3 linked regions of the Sus scrofa genome follow. The main gene of each other region encodes a partner of the protein of the gene in region 3 in a complex. Links are inferred from orthologs where the notes say so. Each region holds a gene or a part of one and is shown on either strand. Other genes may lie near its edges.

Region 1 (4,934 bases), on a different chromosome or scaffold from region 3:
GAAAGGAGGCAAGTGGAAATGATGACTTATTCATTCAGTGCTGTTCTTCACTTTTGCTTCTACAATTCTTAAGTTACTACCTTTCAGTTAGTTGAGTAAGACAATAGATTTTTACCTCCACAACTTCAAGAAAATGCCATTTTAAAGATCAGAAGTTAAAAGGAAAAAGTGTAAACTTGAAATATATCTCAGCTGAGCTAAACCAGAAGTCAAAACAGGAAATTACAAGTCAGTTGAACACATGCAAAAGTTGTACGTTCTGTGTGACTGGGCAAGCCAGTTGGCCTGAAAGGTGATGACAAATATCCATTAACTAACAGTGCCAGATCTCCCATTCTTATTCCAACCCTCTACTACACAACCAAAAACTTCATTTTTGCCCAGAAACCACTGGACACTTAATCAAATAACATTAGTATAAAACATGCCATGTCATGAAGCTCCTTGCTATTCATGATGACTCAGCAGCTGCTGCAAAACATAGAGGTGACAGCCCAGGAAAGCTGACAGCAAGCAGGTAGTCCATAATCCACAAAAGTTCCAGTAAGCACTAAAGAAAGTCTTGAAGATTTTAAAAATCGTTAAATTAAATAGAATATTCTTTTGTATATTCCCAGATACTTTTCTTTGGTAGTATCTGCCAATACTAACACAATGTATCTGCAATGTTAATCAAGAAACCGCCAAACATCTTTAATCCCAATTCAAAACCTAAAAATGTTCTTTCTTTTTCAATCAGATGGCTCACGCAAATAGCTGAAAGTATTTCAGAGAGGGCGACATGATAAATGATCAAGCTCTAACACAAAACTGCAGAGTCTGAAATCCTATCAGCTCTAAGACAATTTGGATCATAGGTGTTAAATGTTGTTAAGGCATCACCTTCCCCCAAATCAGATTTTTCTCTAAGTACATTTAAAAATAAAGTGCGGTTATAGTTTTTGCTACCTGGAATATATGAGTTCTTCTCTACACTCTGCCCACATCATCCAGTGATCTGTATTTACAACATATCATTTTTTTATGTAGAAACTTTAAGGAGATGTAAGAAAGCACTGAAAGACATTTATTCCTCAGGAAAAACAGAAAGCATGTGTCTAAATTCCACTCTCCAAAAGGATTAGGTTAAATGGCCAGTCCTGTGACCTGAATTTTAATCTCAAATCTGTCTGCAAGTACCCCTGCTCCTCACAAAGAAATCTAAAAACCAAGCACTCCTGGTATATATCTGGGGGACAACTGGTGGTGGGAGCTAACAATAATGCCAAGGCTTATAACCATTAGTAGAAAGATACTTACTATTATAACCCAGTTTTTACTGTTAAGAAATTTCTCCCAAATCTTTATTTTTAAAATTCTGTTTTTTCATGATACAATTTACCACCACTAAACATGTCAAAGTGCTCATATTCATTATCATCCACAACACAGCAATCTAGGAAGTCTGCCTTCAACAGGACGCAACAAGTTTTCAGACCCTTTTGCCATACTTTAGTTTTTTTACAGGTTTAAGACATATACTTCCCACCGAGAAATTTTAAAGGGCCTTTTATTAGAATATTTAACATTTTCCTACTCAATTCCCATAACAAACAATTAACAGCTAAAAAGCAGAATTTTCTCAGACTCTAACATCTCAGTTACAATTAGACTAAACCCCTGTTCATAATTTCGAGCGCCCACGAGTACACAAGGTGACTAAATTATAAGACCACCAATATTCCTAGACTATTAAAAAGTACCTGAACTTCCTAAAGTACGTCCCATAATATTAAAATATTTTGTGCATGAGATGAGAACTGGAGTTCCGGTCAACTGTGCGCAATGGCCAATTCTAGCCTCCAAAATAAAAAGGGGAGGGGTGGACATAGTGGGGAGGGAAGAGTCTTGCGACGGAAAAAAGACGTAAGTGCGGAGAGGGACTTTCAAAATGCCCCGGTGCCACTAACTATAACCCGGTTAAGAAAACAAAAATCTAAGTCAACGCTCTCAGATCGGGAGGCACCCGGGAAGGGGAGATGGAGAATTAACTAATAGGTTGAGAGTAACTTCTTCCACTTGCCGTTTAACAGCGCCCCCCACCACCACCAACCCCCGGGGGCCCCAGAGGCCGATACCCCAGGGCAGCCCCCTCCCCACTCACGCTGAAACGCGGGAGACTAGAAAATATCAAACGTAGGGGCCTCCAGCCACATCTTTTCCTTTCTCCCATCCAGAAGACGTGGGTAACACCCTCACACCCCCAATCCCCGCCAAAAACGAAAGAATCCTAGGCCCGTCGTGGCCTAGGATTTCTGTTCCCGCCCTGCGCCGGTCGGGGGAAAGCCCCAGGCTAAGAGGGCTGGGGAGAGGCGGCCCGAACCACACGTGTGCGCCGCAAGATTGGCCTGTCTCAGCCCACTTCCCGTCGCCACCCCAGCGGCCCGAGCTCCCGCCGCCCTGCTCGGGCCTTCGCTCAGGCCCTCCCGTCCGCTCCACGTGGGGCCCCGGACCCCTCACGCCCGTTCCCTCCCCACCCCAGTGCCCGACCCGCTAGGCCCCGAGGCGCCGGGGTCCCGTACCTGGTGCTGTTGTCGCCCCTGCTGGTAAGGCTTAATTGGCCCCTGGTGGCAACGCCGCGTCCGGATCTTGCCGCCACCGCCCCCTCCTAAGCCTCCGGCTCCCGAGGCCATGGCGGAGCCTCCGCGGCTTCCCCCTGAGGAGCGGGTTAGGGGGCGGGAGAGGCAGAGGCGGCCTTGAGGCCCCCCCGCCCGGCCCCAGCCCAAAAGTCCGTCCGCGCTGCCCACACAGTGGGTCACAGGCACACCAGGAACCGCGGGTCTGCGAGCAGGAGCCGAGAGAGAATGCGCGCTGGCGGCAGCGAAGGGGGTGGCGGCGACACAGGCCGAGGACCTGGCTCCCGTCCGGCAGCCTCCCGCGGACCCCCGCCTCTGTGTATGTCACCGTCTCTATGGAGATTCTCCGCGAGGACAACACAAGAGGTTCCAAGCGCTGCTTAGGCCTAACGCGACCGCCGGCTGACGGGGATTCTTCTTCCGTCGCCCTAGCCGTAGCTGCCGCAGTTGAAGCCGCCGGCGCCGCCCGCCTACCCCTCCCCTTTGCGCACAGCGCCCGCCCCGCCGTCGTCGTCGTCGTCCCTGCAATCGCCGCTGTTGCGTCTATTACCGCTACTAAGGCCGCCGCTGCGGTCGCGAGCCAGGACGCCGTCACTAGTCAGCGCGCGACGAGTTTGCATCATCACGATGTGACCAGGTGATAGGCGGGGAGGTGGGAAGGGCTAGTCGAGCCCGCGCTCTCAGCCGCGCGGGCCGCTGGGAAACGTAGTTCAACGGAAGGAGGCGCGTGCTCAGAACGGAGGACGCGGAAGGAGAGCGGCGGTTCCCTGCAGAGGCACAAAGCCAGGGGTTCCGTTCCTTTTAACTGCTCTTGATTCTAAACTTTGAAAGAGGCATTTAACACAAACGGTAACCTCCTTCCCACTTTCCTTCTCTGGAATGGTAAAGCGGGAAGAAAGTAAGCACATAGTAAAATCACAGAGAGAAGCTAACAATATCTTATAAAAAGAAAAAAACTGGTTGAAAAGACAGTGTCTATGATCTTTAAGCCTAAAACAGAATTAGCAAATATATACAGTTTCATTAATGTCCGTTACAATAAGGGCTTTGTTGTCAAACACACAAGTGCTGTCTGGCTCCACCACTTAAGTTTGACCTTGAAGTCAAAACCTTCCGCCCCTATAAAATGGGAACTTTAAAATCCAGCTTATACAGCTGTTGCGATCATCTACGTGGAGCACTTAGTGTATTTCCTGGCATGCAAGAGATGCAATAAATGGTTACGGTGATCACCTACAGCAGTCAAGCTCACGTTAGAGGTAAGCCGTATATTACCAGTAATAAAAGTATACATATATTTGCTCCAAATAGAAGGCATTATATTTAGCAAAGTGAAAAGTGAGTTAGGCTCAAAGACTTAATCCACAAAGTATAGCGATTTTTAAAAGTTGACCGTTAGAAAGATCTGGGTGATCACGTGCGCCAGCCCTCATTCAACGGACAAGACGGGGTTCCGGAGAATTTAGTCGACATATTGGAGGACACTGAACTGGGCAGTCAAAGCCAGGACTATAACCCAACTTTTCTGTAGGAGTTGAAACAAGTAACCAAGTGATTAGAAAGAAAATCTACTTCTGTGAAAACACATGGGCTTAATGTTCCATTTGAGACAATTGATTTTAAAGCTTATAAATAGCTTTGGATTCAAATAAACTTAATTTTAAATCTATCACTTACTAGCTGTGTAGCCTTGGGTAAGTTACTGATCCTCTTTCTACGCTTCAGTTTCCTCATCTGCAAATAGAATGAATATTAACCTCAACAAGTTGGTGGTTCTGGTGAAAGGATTAATATACATAATTCATAATAACTGCTTAGACAGAAAGCATCTAATATCATCCAGTTATCTGATACAAATAATTAACCTCAAGACTTTTATACCATCTCTACCACCAAATTGCATGATTCCAATCGCTATATAAATCATATAAGTCAAAAGGTGAAGCCAAACTTAAGCAGTACCTTAGAATTTGCAGCATCTTCCAGCATAGGCTGACAGAACAAATGGCATCTCTGACCTTATCACCACCAAGACTATAAAAAGTTCCCAAATATGATGGACAAAATTAATCTACTTCCTTTTGTGCTTCCATTTTATACCTTCATGCCCCAACTCCACCACTAACTTCTCACTAGACTCTCCAGGTACACAAGCTCTTTCCCCAGAGGCACCTCATCCTTTAATACAATTGTTTGTCTTTCGCAATTCTTAGCTAGGTATGTGACAAGCAAAGTAGTCATTCCTAAAAAGCTTTAATACCCAGGAAAGATCTGTACCTGAATCTTTACTTGCATGACGTAAATAGAAGATTGAACTGT
Region 2 (4,952 bases), on a different chromosome or scaffold from region 3:
TCATTGACTTCTCCGTCCCCATCGCGATCAGCTTCATCAATCATTTCCTGCACAACAGGAGTCAAGTTAGATGAATTCATAAATGAAACAAAAATGTGACTAAATAATAGGCTTTTATAATGCTACCTGAATAGACAATTGTAGTCCCCCGCACACACACACACACTACAAGATGCTGCTTCTTATAATAGCTTGCCTCCCGAAAAGTTATTTGAAAACCCAGCCATCCTTTGCCACACATGTATCACCTGAGCTCGAAGATCATCTTGACCAGGGAGACGCCTAAAACCTAAAATAGTAAGTAAAACTATCCGTGAGGCAGCAGCGCCCATACGTTTGCCACACTATTGAAAAAGAAATTAAATGGTCACTAGAGGGACAAGAGAATGCTAGTTTTCCTCCAAAGCATTAGAGAAAACATAACACGGAAAAGCCACACAGGGCTCCAGGCTGACACATCACACACCTGCAGCTCCTCGTCAGTGAGGTTCTCGCCCAACTCCTTGGCCACGCGTTTTAGATTCTTGAACGATATCTTCCCAGTTTCATCGTCATCGAAGAGCTTGAAAGCTTTCAGGATTTCTTCTTTGGTATCCTTCTCAGACTTAACAAGTAGAACATAAAAAACACATGAGTAAAGAGACTCATAATTACCTGTGTCCCACAACCCTAGCACCATCCCCTCTGCCCTGCCACAACAGCACCACATGGCCTCATGACATTGGTGCTAGGTCACAGAAGATCAAAAATCAACCAGCGTAGAGAGAGGGGACAAACATGAAATTGGTACAATCCCAGAGGCTAAGAAGGAAATATAAAGGCTTGCACTTAAAACATTTTCTATACAAATGGAAGAGAAAAGTAGACTGCTTTTTAAAATACAGCAGCAGGAGTTCCCGTCGTGGCGCAGTGGTTAACGAATCCGACTAGGAACCATGAGGTTGCGGGTTCGGTCCCTGCCCTTGCTCAGTGGGTTAACGATCCGGCGTTGCCGTGAGCTGTGGTGTAGGTTGCAGACGCGGCTCGGATGCCACGTTGCTGTGGCTCTGGTGTAGGCCGGTGGCTACAGCTCCGATTCAACCCCTAGCCTGGGAACCTCCATATGCCGCGGGAGCGGCCCAAGAAATAGCAACAACAACAACAACAACAACAAAAGACAAAAAAATAAATAAATAAATAAAATACAGCAGCAGATGATGGGATTAAGTTTAGAGGAAATTCCACTGCTTAAGCTGGGATCCTCTTGGGGGCAGAGGGGAGCAGGGAGGAAAGAGAAGGCGATTTCACTTATGAGAGCACCAAGAGTTACTAGAATCCCAGGTACTCTGACAGAGGAAAAGAGGAAAAGCTTCCTGAACTCTTAACTTAGTCCCTGAAGAAAAATATGGGTGTGATTAGATGATTTCAAAGCAACAGGATTATTAGAGTGGGAAGAGACCTGTGCCTTGGGAAGCACAGCTGAAGCACTGATGGAGCTACTTTTCCACGGGCCAGTAGAATGTACATGAGCCACACTGAGGAGGAGCCAGGAGGCCAATGAAAGAGAAAGGGACCAATGGGTGAAAAGACACTTTCATATCTAGACTCAAATCTGTCCACCATTATTGGTGGAAAATACACCCATCATCTTAGCTAACCTACCATTTTCTGAGTCATCACAGTTAAAAAGTCACTGAAGTTCATTTTTCCTGTCCCTTCCTTATCGATTTCACTTATCATTTTCTTGATCTCTTCTTTCTTGGGTTCAAAGCCCAGTGCCCTCATTGCCACCTGCAATGAAAACAGGATCATCTCAATATGTACATCTAAACCCAGGGGCAAAAAATGACAGCATTGAGAGCATTAAGCCAGTATCTGACACAATCATGTTAAAATAATTAGGAAACACTATAACATTAAGCAAATTGATATTTGCACTCAATTTTGTTTAATAATACTTGAGGTAAATAAAGACAGAAAAACAGCACAGAAGAGAAAGAGGCAGAGAAAAGTCAAGGCAGCAGAGCAGGAATGTACAGGGCTTGCCTTAAGTTCTTTAACATCTATTGTCCCAGTTCCATCAGCATCAAAGAGATCAAAAGCTTCTCGGATTTCCTGTTTCTGCTCTTCAGTAAGCTCTGGTTTAGGGCTCATCCTTTTTCGCTGGGCAGCAGATGCCACGTTTGTCTTCTTAAAGTTAGAGGCCTTTATATGTTTCACAAACAGAGAAGCACGGTATTATGTAATAGGGTACATATTTTACATAAATATGTTACAATCCTATCTACTTTTAAAATAGTTTATACCAACGAATTCCAAAACTAACAGGAGAAATAACAGCGTTTAGTGAAAAGAGCAAATACTCTTTCTCTGCACCTCTATCCCTCCCTCTTCTTTACTACTGTTTCTAGAAGGAGATCCTTTGTTCTTTTGGATATCTCTTATTTGAAATCATCTAAAAAGAGAGCTGGCCAAGGAGCTGACTCTGGATAAATGTACAGATAATCAGCTCTCTCTGAATTTGGGACCCTAAATCTAAAAATGTCCTTAGAACGCTATTCTGCTTCGCTCTAAGTTATAAGATTTTCTGATTACTTCTAATTTGGCCAAATACTAAGTTAAGATGTATATTCTGTCAATATCGAATAATAAAACTCAATCCCCTCGGCACATCTGAGCCTTCCCCAAGAAGGTCAAAGCGTTTCCGAAGTCCCAATATTTAACATTTTAAATGCACATTAACAATCAAACACAATAAACTTCCCCTAGGCTCTGGGTAGAAACTTTGGTAGAGGCGGCCAGGAGGCCAGAGTCTGGAAGTGGTCGGGGTGTGCGAAGAGCCCGAGTCTGTTTTGACCAGAGGTGGTCACCGAAGGAGCCAGGGGAGCCCGAAGGACGGATAGGGGCCAGCTGTGGCTTGAATGGGACGCAGCGGCTAATCGCAGGCCCAGCAGGGCGGCCAGGATCTCTACCCTACCCTTCCGGGAAGCGCTCAGAGGAAAGAGTGCGCCAAAGCCGAGAACCGCGCAGGAGAGACGGCGGGGCCAGGCCAAGGCCTGTGAAGGGCTCAGCTTCTGGACACAGGGTTCGAAAGGGTAACAAGCACTCACCATCGCCGATGGACTCCGCTTCCCGTTGTTACGGCAACGGACGTACACACCGACTCGGCGCCCTTCCCACCGCCCCCTGCGCGCGGCCTTGCACCCCATTGGAGGACAGATGACTGCAGCTCCCCATTGGCACAGTGCTGGAGTGGGTGGGACTAACCCGACGGAGGCCTGACGCAGGGCGCAGGGCATTGTGGCGCGGCCTGGCCTTATTGGGCAGGATTACACCGCGAGCGCTGATTGGCCGAGCCAGCACCAATCCCTTTGGTGGAGGCGCCTCGGCTGATAGTAGCCTCATAAGGGTGGGGAGAAACAGGTGGTTGCTGGCGCCTGGAGCTCTGAGGCTGTAGGCTACCGATGCGCTGAGGCCGGCCAGGGAGGCACCTACCAACAGGTAAGGGTTGCGACCTCGCTCTTGGGTTGGCGATAGGACTGGAAAGGCAAGGAATTGGGTGGGGCCTTTCGCGGGGCTCGAAAAGGTAACAAGCCCTCACCCGGTCGGGGACTTTCTGGTCTGGACTAAGACTGAGTTAGGGTCAGAGGGGCCAGAGAAGACCGTGACCTTGCGTGTTGGAGCAGAGGATGTATTTACGGGGCAACTGAGACGGAGAAGGAAAGGCAGAGGCCGGGCGTTATCACAGAAATTCGGACGTCTGGGACTTAGAAGCTGAATTCATCCACCTGAGGCTCTTTCTTTGGGCGTGTCCGTCCCACCCCAAATAGATAACAAGATAGGATCACTTTAGTTCTCACCTGGCTAAAAGCAGCTCGGGAAGATGAGCTGGGGGCCTAGGAACGGCCTTTGAAGGGAGTGAAGGAGATTTGAGTGAGCATAAAGGGGACAGATCATCAAAATATACTCATTTTGACAACCAAACACTCAAGGCGGATAGTGAGGAGTATTCCAGGTGGGGACACTTCATGAGCAAAGTCACAGAGCCGTTTTGGAAAGGTGAGGCTTGCTCAGAGAATTACAAGGGGGCGTGTGCCACGGTAACAGATGAAAGGGAGCTGGAACAGTGGCCCTGGAAGTCCAAGGTCTGCCTTCCTTAGCCAGCCCAGTGTAAGGGCACTTCTTGCCTCTCAGCCCTTACCTGCTTCACCTCTGGGCATTGGCACAGCATTTTGGGAAGCAGGGGACAGAGCATAAGTTTCTCAGGCTGAAGAAAGCCTGAGATTTATTGACATTCATTAAGCGAAAATGTTTGCCGAACTTCTGCCCTTTACCCTCTTCCTCTTTGAGCACAAGCCGAGTCCAAAACCTTTTGGTCCTATTTGACTCTTCCTGCCCTGGCCCCACTAACTAGCCTCCACTTTCTGTCAGCTTCCTCCTTAAAGGGTGTTTCTTTTCTCTTTTCCACCTCTGTTGCTCCTGTCCCACTTCACGCCTTCAGCAGCAGCCCCCCTGTGGGTACAAGCCAGAGCTCTCACCATGCTCTGCAAGGCCCATCCCAACATGCTTCCTCCTCTCCCCTGGCTGCTCCAGCCCCAGGACACTAGCTTCCTTGATGGACTCAAATGCACGGACACACTCCTGCCTTCAAACTTTTGTTCCAACCATCTCTTCTGCCTGTTTGTTCTACTTGTTTCCTTCTTCCAGGTCTTTGCTCCACTGTCACCTTCTCAGTGAGCCACCCTAAGCATCCTATTTAGCCCTGCATCTCCCAGAACACCCAAACCCTACACCTTTCTCTGTTTTTATCCCCTAGTACTTATAACTGTATCCTTATTTATTTTGTTCTTCTTTGCCCATCCACTAGAAGGGAAGCCATATGGGTGCAGGCATCTTTGTTTTGTTCACTGCTGGCATTCCAGGACCTTGATCAGTGAAGGGTACATATTAGGTCCTCACTAAATCTTGGTTGA
Region 3 (4,840 bases):
TCAGGGGAGTCAAAGATTCTCACCTTCTTCAGTGCTCTAAACTGAAAATCCTGTGGTGAGGGGTCAAAACAAGATCAATTCAAGTAAATAGGAAATTAAATCACCTGTCACTATATTCCAGTACGACAAAATACATGTTACCCTGAGGCTAAGTACTGTGTAGCTCAGTCTTCTTTGGGCCATGCCTGCAGCATGTGGAAGTTCCTAGGCCAGGGATCAAACCCACACCACAGCAGGGACCTGAGCCACTGCAGGATCCTTAACCCACTGAGCCATGAGGGAACTCTGCGCGTTTTTAATCTTCCTATGACATTGTGGTACCTGGCATAGTGCTTATTAGTATTTATTGAATAAAATAAATTTTTAAAAACTCATGAAGCTTTTCTTGACTAACCCAGTGAACACTGATCTTTCCCTTTTCTGAATTCCTAGCTTATTTATTTGTCTTTTTGTCTTTTCTAGGGCTGTATCCACAAAATACGGAGGTTCCCAGGCTAGGGGTCTAATGAGAGCTGTAGCCGCCGGCCTACACTTGAGCCACAGCAACACAGGATCCGAGCCGCATCTGAGACCTTCACCACAGTTCACGGCAACGCCAGATCCTCAACCCACTGAACAAGGCCAGGGTTCGAACCTGCGTCCGCATGGATGCCAGTCAGGTTTGTTAACTGCTGAGCCATGACAGGACCTCCTACCCTGTAAACTCAAATTACCAGTATAGTACTCAACAAATATACATGGAGGTGACCACTGAAGGGTAACAAACTCCCAAGAACTGGTTTACCTGCATCAGATGCCTGCTAAACAAAACTCCCGTCACAGATGGGGATGTGTGCAGTCAAACCCTTGGTGTTGAGGCCCAACACGCCCAGATGCCATGAGGACCCTCCAAAACCAAGCCCGAACCCCGGCCACAGGCAGTAAGCAGCTTGGCTTGACCCGCCCAAGCTGAAGCGCCACCTGACAACACTGCTTCCTTTGCACAACTACGCCATCACCCCTGCCACGTCCAGCGCCACCTCCACCCCCCACCTACTCACTTCTGGTTTTCCCTTCCTTCCATTTTCATGCTCCTTAGTGCCTCAGGGCCTGGTAGCCTTCCTCAACCTCCTGTCAATGCCTGACTCATCTAGTCTCCCATGATTTTATCAATCTGTTTTCAAAGAATTTTCAGTATGTACCATCTCTTGGTAAAAAGCGTTCCATATAAGCTTGCCAATAATTAAGTTATACTATATCGGTTTTTATTTTTTTCTTTCTTCAATTCTAATCCAGCTTTAAGTGAAGGTTTTAGTGAAAAGAGTGTGAATCTTCTTTTGCTTACACTCCAAAAAGTATAAAAGTGAAGACAGCCTTTCTTTCTTTTTAGGGTCTCACCTGAGGCATATGGAGGTTCCCAGGCTAGGGGTTGATTCAGAGCTACAGCTGCCGGCCTACACCACAGCCACAGCAACGCCAGATCCAAGCCGTGTCTGTGACCTATACCACAGTCACCGGCAACGCCGAGATCCTGAACCCACTGAGCGAGGCCAGGGGTCAAACCCACAACCTCATGGTTCCTAGTCGGGTTTCCCCTGCACCACGATGGGAACTCTTGAAGTACTCTTCTTAATTTCAACCAAGTATAGGGATCAGAAATCCACATGGCTTTCCAAGTGAGACCACAAAATTGTGAATCTTTTTGTTAATTCTCATCCTGATAATCCCAAATATCCTACCTGGGTCTTGTTTTGGCTTTTTGGTTTGTTTTTGTCTTTTATCTTTTGTCTTCTAAGGGCTGCACTCGTGGCATATGGTGGTTCCCAGGCTATGGGTCCAATCGGGGCTACAGCTGCTGGCCTACACCACAGTTACAGCAACGCCGGATCCTTAACTCACTAAGTGAGTCCAGGGATCAAACCCGAAACCTCATGGTTCCTAATCGGATTTGTTTCCACTGGGCCCCGACGGGAACTCCCCTACTTGGGTCTTGTAACCAGTAACCCAGGAAGGTGGTTGTTCTTAAACCTCTTCATCCTTCTGCCCCAGCATATCTGAGGAACATGGCACACTCACTGGGTGGCTCATCCAGGGCAGTGATTCTCAAGGAGAAAGAGAGCATCACAGCTCTAAACATGGTATGGATTACTACGCTTTAAATGCACTTCAGTGATTAGTTGTTCAGATACCTAAAGTCTTCCTACAACACAGTCCTGTTTTCTTGTGAATTCCCTCTCATCATTTGGCTCAGCTGGCCCGCTCAAGTGTTCTGACTTCAGGTTGATTTCCAGGACCAAAAGAGTCCTCCAGTTCCAGTTAACTAAAGCTCTTACAAGGTTCAGTGATGAACGGGCAAGCCTGGACCACCTTACAGAAGTACTGGCACCTGAGAGAGGGTCTTGAAAACACTAACGACAAACACCTAAATTTCTGCACGCTTGTCAAATGAGGCTTTGGGCAAGTTACTTTCTGAGCCTCAACTTGCTACTCTATATTAACAAGCACTTCGTAAGTTGCTGTGATAATTATCAGTGCCTGGCATAAAGCAAACGCTCGATACACAGTGGTTATGACCACTACTCCGACCACCACATTAGAGTAGGTAGGAGAAGAGTTCCCTTGTGGTCTAGCGGTTAAAGGATCCAGAGTTGTCACTGCAGCAGCTCGGGTTCGATCCCTGGACCAAAAACTTCCGCAAGCCGCGAGCGCGGCCAAAAAAAAAAGCGTAGTTAGGATAACTCAAGAAGCTCAGACAAGACCAACTAGGGCGGCAAAACTGCATTCAGTGGGGCTTTTACGCCGGCGGCACGGCAGAGCTCTCCAGGACGCGTTGGTGAGAACCGTGAGCCCGGCAAACAGTTCGAGCTGCAGGCGGGGGGCGGGGCAGCCGACACTCGCGTCTCGCAGGCAACACCTGAACTAAGAAAGGGGGGGAGGCCCCGGCCAGTGTCTGACCTTCATCTCCCGCTCGGGGATCACGGCGTCCATCTCGTCTCCCATCTCGCCGCTCTCAACTGGTCAAAGCAGCCACCGCGGCTGCCCGGGGCCTCGCCAACACTACCCAGGCGCTTCCAGGCCAACTTCCTTTCTTCAGGTTGAGCAGCGCTCCGCAGATTACGTACTTCCGGCGCGCATTGGTGACGTCAAGCTCCTCGGTCCGCGGACCTGTGAAGGGAGGCTGAGGGCCCTTCTGAAGTCTTGAGCCCTCCTGGCCGCCGCCTCCCATTGGCTGGCTTGGACCGAGTAGGGGGCGTGGCCCGGGAGCTGGGGCGCCTGCGCGCGGGAGGTCCGGTTGCAGCAGCCGCTTTAGCAGGTGGCGCGGTTTCGCTTTCGTTCTTTGAGCGGTGCACCTGCAGGGCCTCCACGCTCGTTTAATGGAAACGACACTGTAATCTGTGGATGTAGGTGGTTATTAATAGCTCCAATTGTAGAGAAGTTAGGAACTTGACAAATACTTCCAAGGGGCAGCTCCTGAGAAGGGCTTTGGAGGCCGGGAGAGTGGAGGGAAAAGTGCGGGAAGTTGGTGAGGTGGGTGTCGCCAGCGAGACTCTTCTGTGTCTAATGGCTGAAAGGGGAGATTAGAGGGCACCAGTGATTAGCTTTGTTTACGCCTTTCAAGGTAATCGTTTCCGGTGCAAGGGCCCAAAAACTGGGCAAAACACTATTTAATTTATGGTTTTTAGGCCCCGCCTGTGTGGCATATGGAAGTTCCCAGGCTAGGGGTCTAATTAGAGCTACAACGGGCAGCCTACACAGCAGGCCACAGCAACGCGAGATCCCCGACCCCACCGAGCCAGGCCAGGGATGGAACCCGCATGGTCCTGGATACTAGCCAGATTTATTTCCGCTGTGCCACAACGGGAACTCCCACAAAACACTTTAGATGTGTTGTTTACTCTTCAGTAGTCACCTAGGGGTTGTCACTGCCATTTAATTGATTGAGGTGACTGGAAGCACAGAGGAGTTAAGAAAATTCCCCAGTGCCCCTCAAGTGGTGAAGGCAGGATTAGAGTTCGGCTTGTCTGAATATACTGATTGCTGACTATGACACAGTCCTACGTAGAGATTTTTGCAGTGGAACTGTAAATGCTCTAGGACAGAGATTCTTAGCTTGGAGGCTGTGATCAGCTCCCGGGAAGATGGGGGGAGGGGTACGTATTCTGTCACTGCTTGGTTTTCAGCAGACTCCTCATCTGCTCCAAGCCTGCTTCTCATTTCTCAAACAAAAATGACATAATGGAACCTTACTCATGGGGTTGCTATGAGAAGCAAAGGAAGTTCAACGTTTAACAGCACCTGGCACACAGGACACATTCTTTTAGTCTGTCACTATATCAGCTAGTGCTTCTCAGTTTACTAAGGCCCAGAACCACCCCCAAAATACACCAATCAAGACGTTGATAAGTTTGTTTTATTTCCATTCTGTAGAGATATCTGGTACCGCACACACTCACATGCATACATACACACATACTGCATCCACCTGAATTTGCCCCATACACTCCCTCCTTTCCAATGGCAGGGGTGAAGCCATATTGGCAGCCCCCAAGTTGCTGGTTATATTAGTTAGATTTGGTCTTTCAGAGAGGAAACAGCGGAACTTCTAAGAAGCTGAGCCCATGGCCAGAAAAATAAGAGTCCTAGAGCTAATGGCCACAACCTGAAATACACACACACACACACACACACACACACACACACACACACACACACACACACACACACACACACACACACACACACACACACACACACACACACACACACACACACACACACACACACACACACACACACACACACACACACACACACACACACACACACACACACACACACACACACACACACACACACCCTT

Evidence for each region. Proteins that work in one complex are often made in the same cells at the same time.
Region 1: NUP214 (region 3) and NUP153 share a complex: the UniProt entries of both Homo sapiens proteins name them as parts of the nuclear pore complex. The link is inferred for Sus scrofa from reciprocal best matches to the Homo sapiens genes NUP214 and NUP153.
Region 2: NUP214 (region 3) and CETN2 share a complex: the UniProt entries of both Homo sapiens proteins name them as parts of the nuclear pore complex. The link is inferred for Sus scrofa from reciprocal best matches to the Homo sapiens genes NUP214 and CETN2.

The regions. Positions count from the first base shown.
Region 1 is NC_010449.5:13,463,336-13,468,269, forward strand, and holds the start of NUP153 (nuclear pore complex protein Nup153), read right to left. Parts: upstream 3,243-4,934; 5' UTR 2,673-3,242; coding exon 2,562-2,672; intron 2,444-2,561; exon of another isoform or gene 2,213-2,443; coding exon of another isoform or gene 2,144-2,212; intron 2,081-2,143; exon of another isoform or gene 1,743-2,080; intron 1-1,742. UniProt on the Homo sapiens protein: Component of the nuclear pore complex (NPC), a complex required for the trafficking across the nuclear envelope. Functions as a scaffolding element in the nuclear phase of the NPC essential for normal nucleocytoplasmic transport of proteins and mRNAs.
Region 2 is NC_010461.5:123,902,805-123,907,756, forward strand, and holds the start of CETN2 (centrin-2), read right to left. Parts: upstream 3,243-4,952; 5' UTR 3,189-3,242; coding exon 3,090-3,188; intron 2,185-3,089; coding exon 2,026-2,184; intron 1,771-2,025; coding exon 1,642-1,770; intron 605-1,641; coding exon 467-604; intron 48-466; coding exon 1-47. UniProt on the Homo sapiens protein: Plays a fundamental role in microtubule organizing center structure and function. Required for centriole duplication and correct spindle formation. Has a role in regulating cytokinesis and genome stability via cooperation with CALM1 and CCP110.
Region 3 is NC_010443.5:271,102,339-271,107,178, reverse strand, and holds the start of NUP214 (nuclear pore complex protein Nup214), read right to left. Parts: upstream 3,342-4,840; 5' UTR 2,980-3,341; coding exon 2,935-2,979; intron 51-2,934; coding exon 1-50. UniProt on the Homo sapiens protein: Part of the nuclear pore complex. Has a critical role in nucleocytoplasmic transport.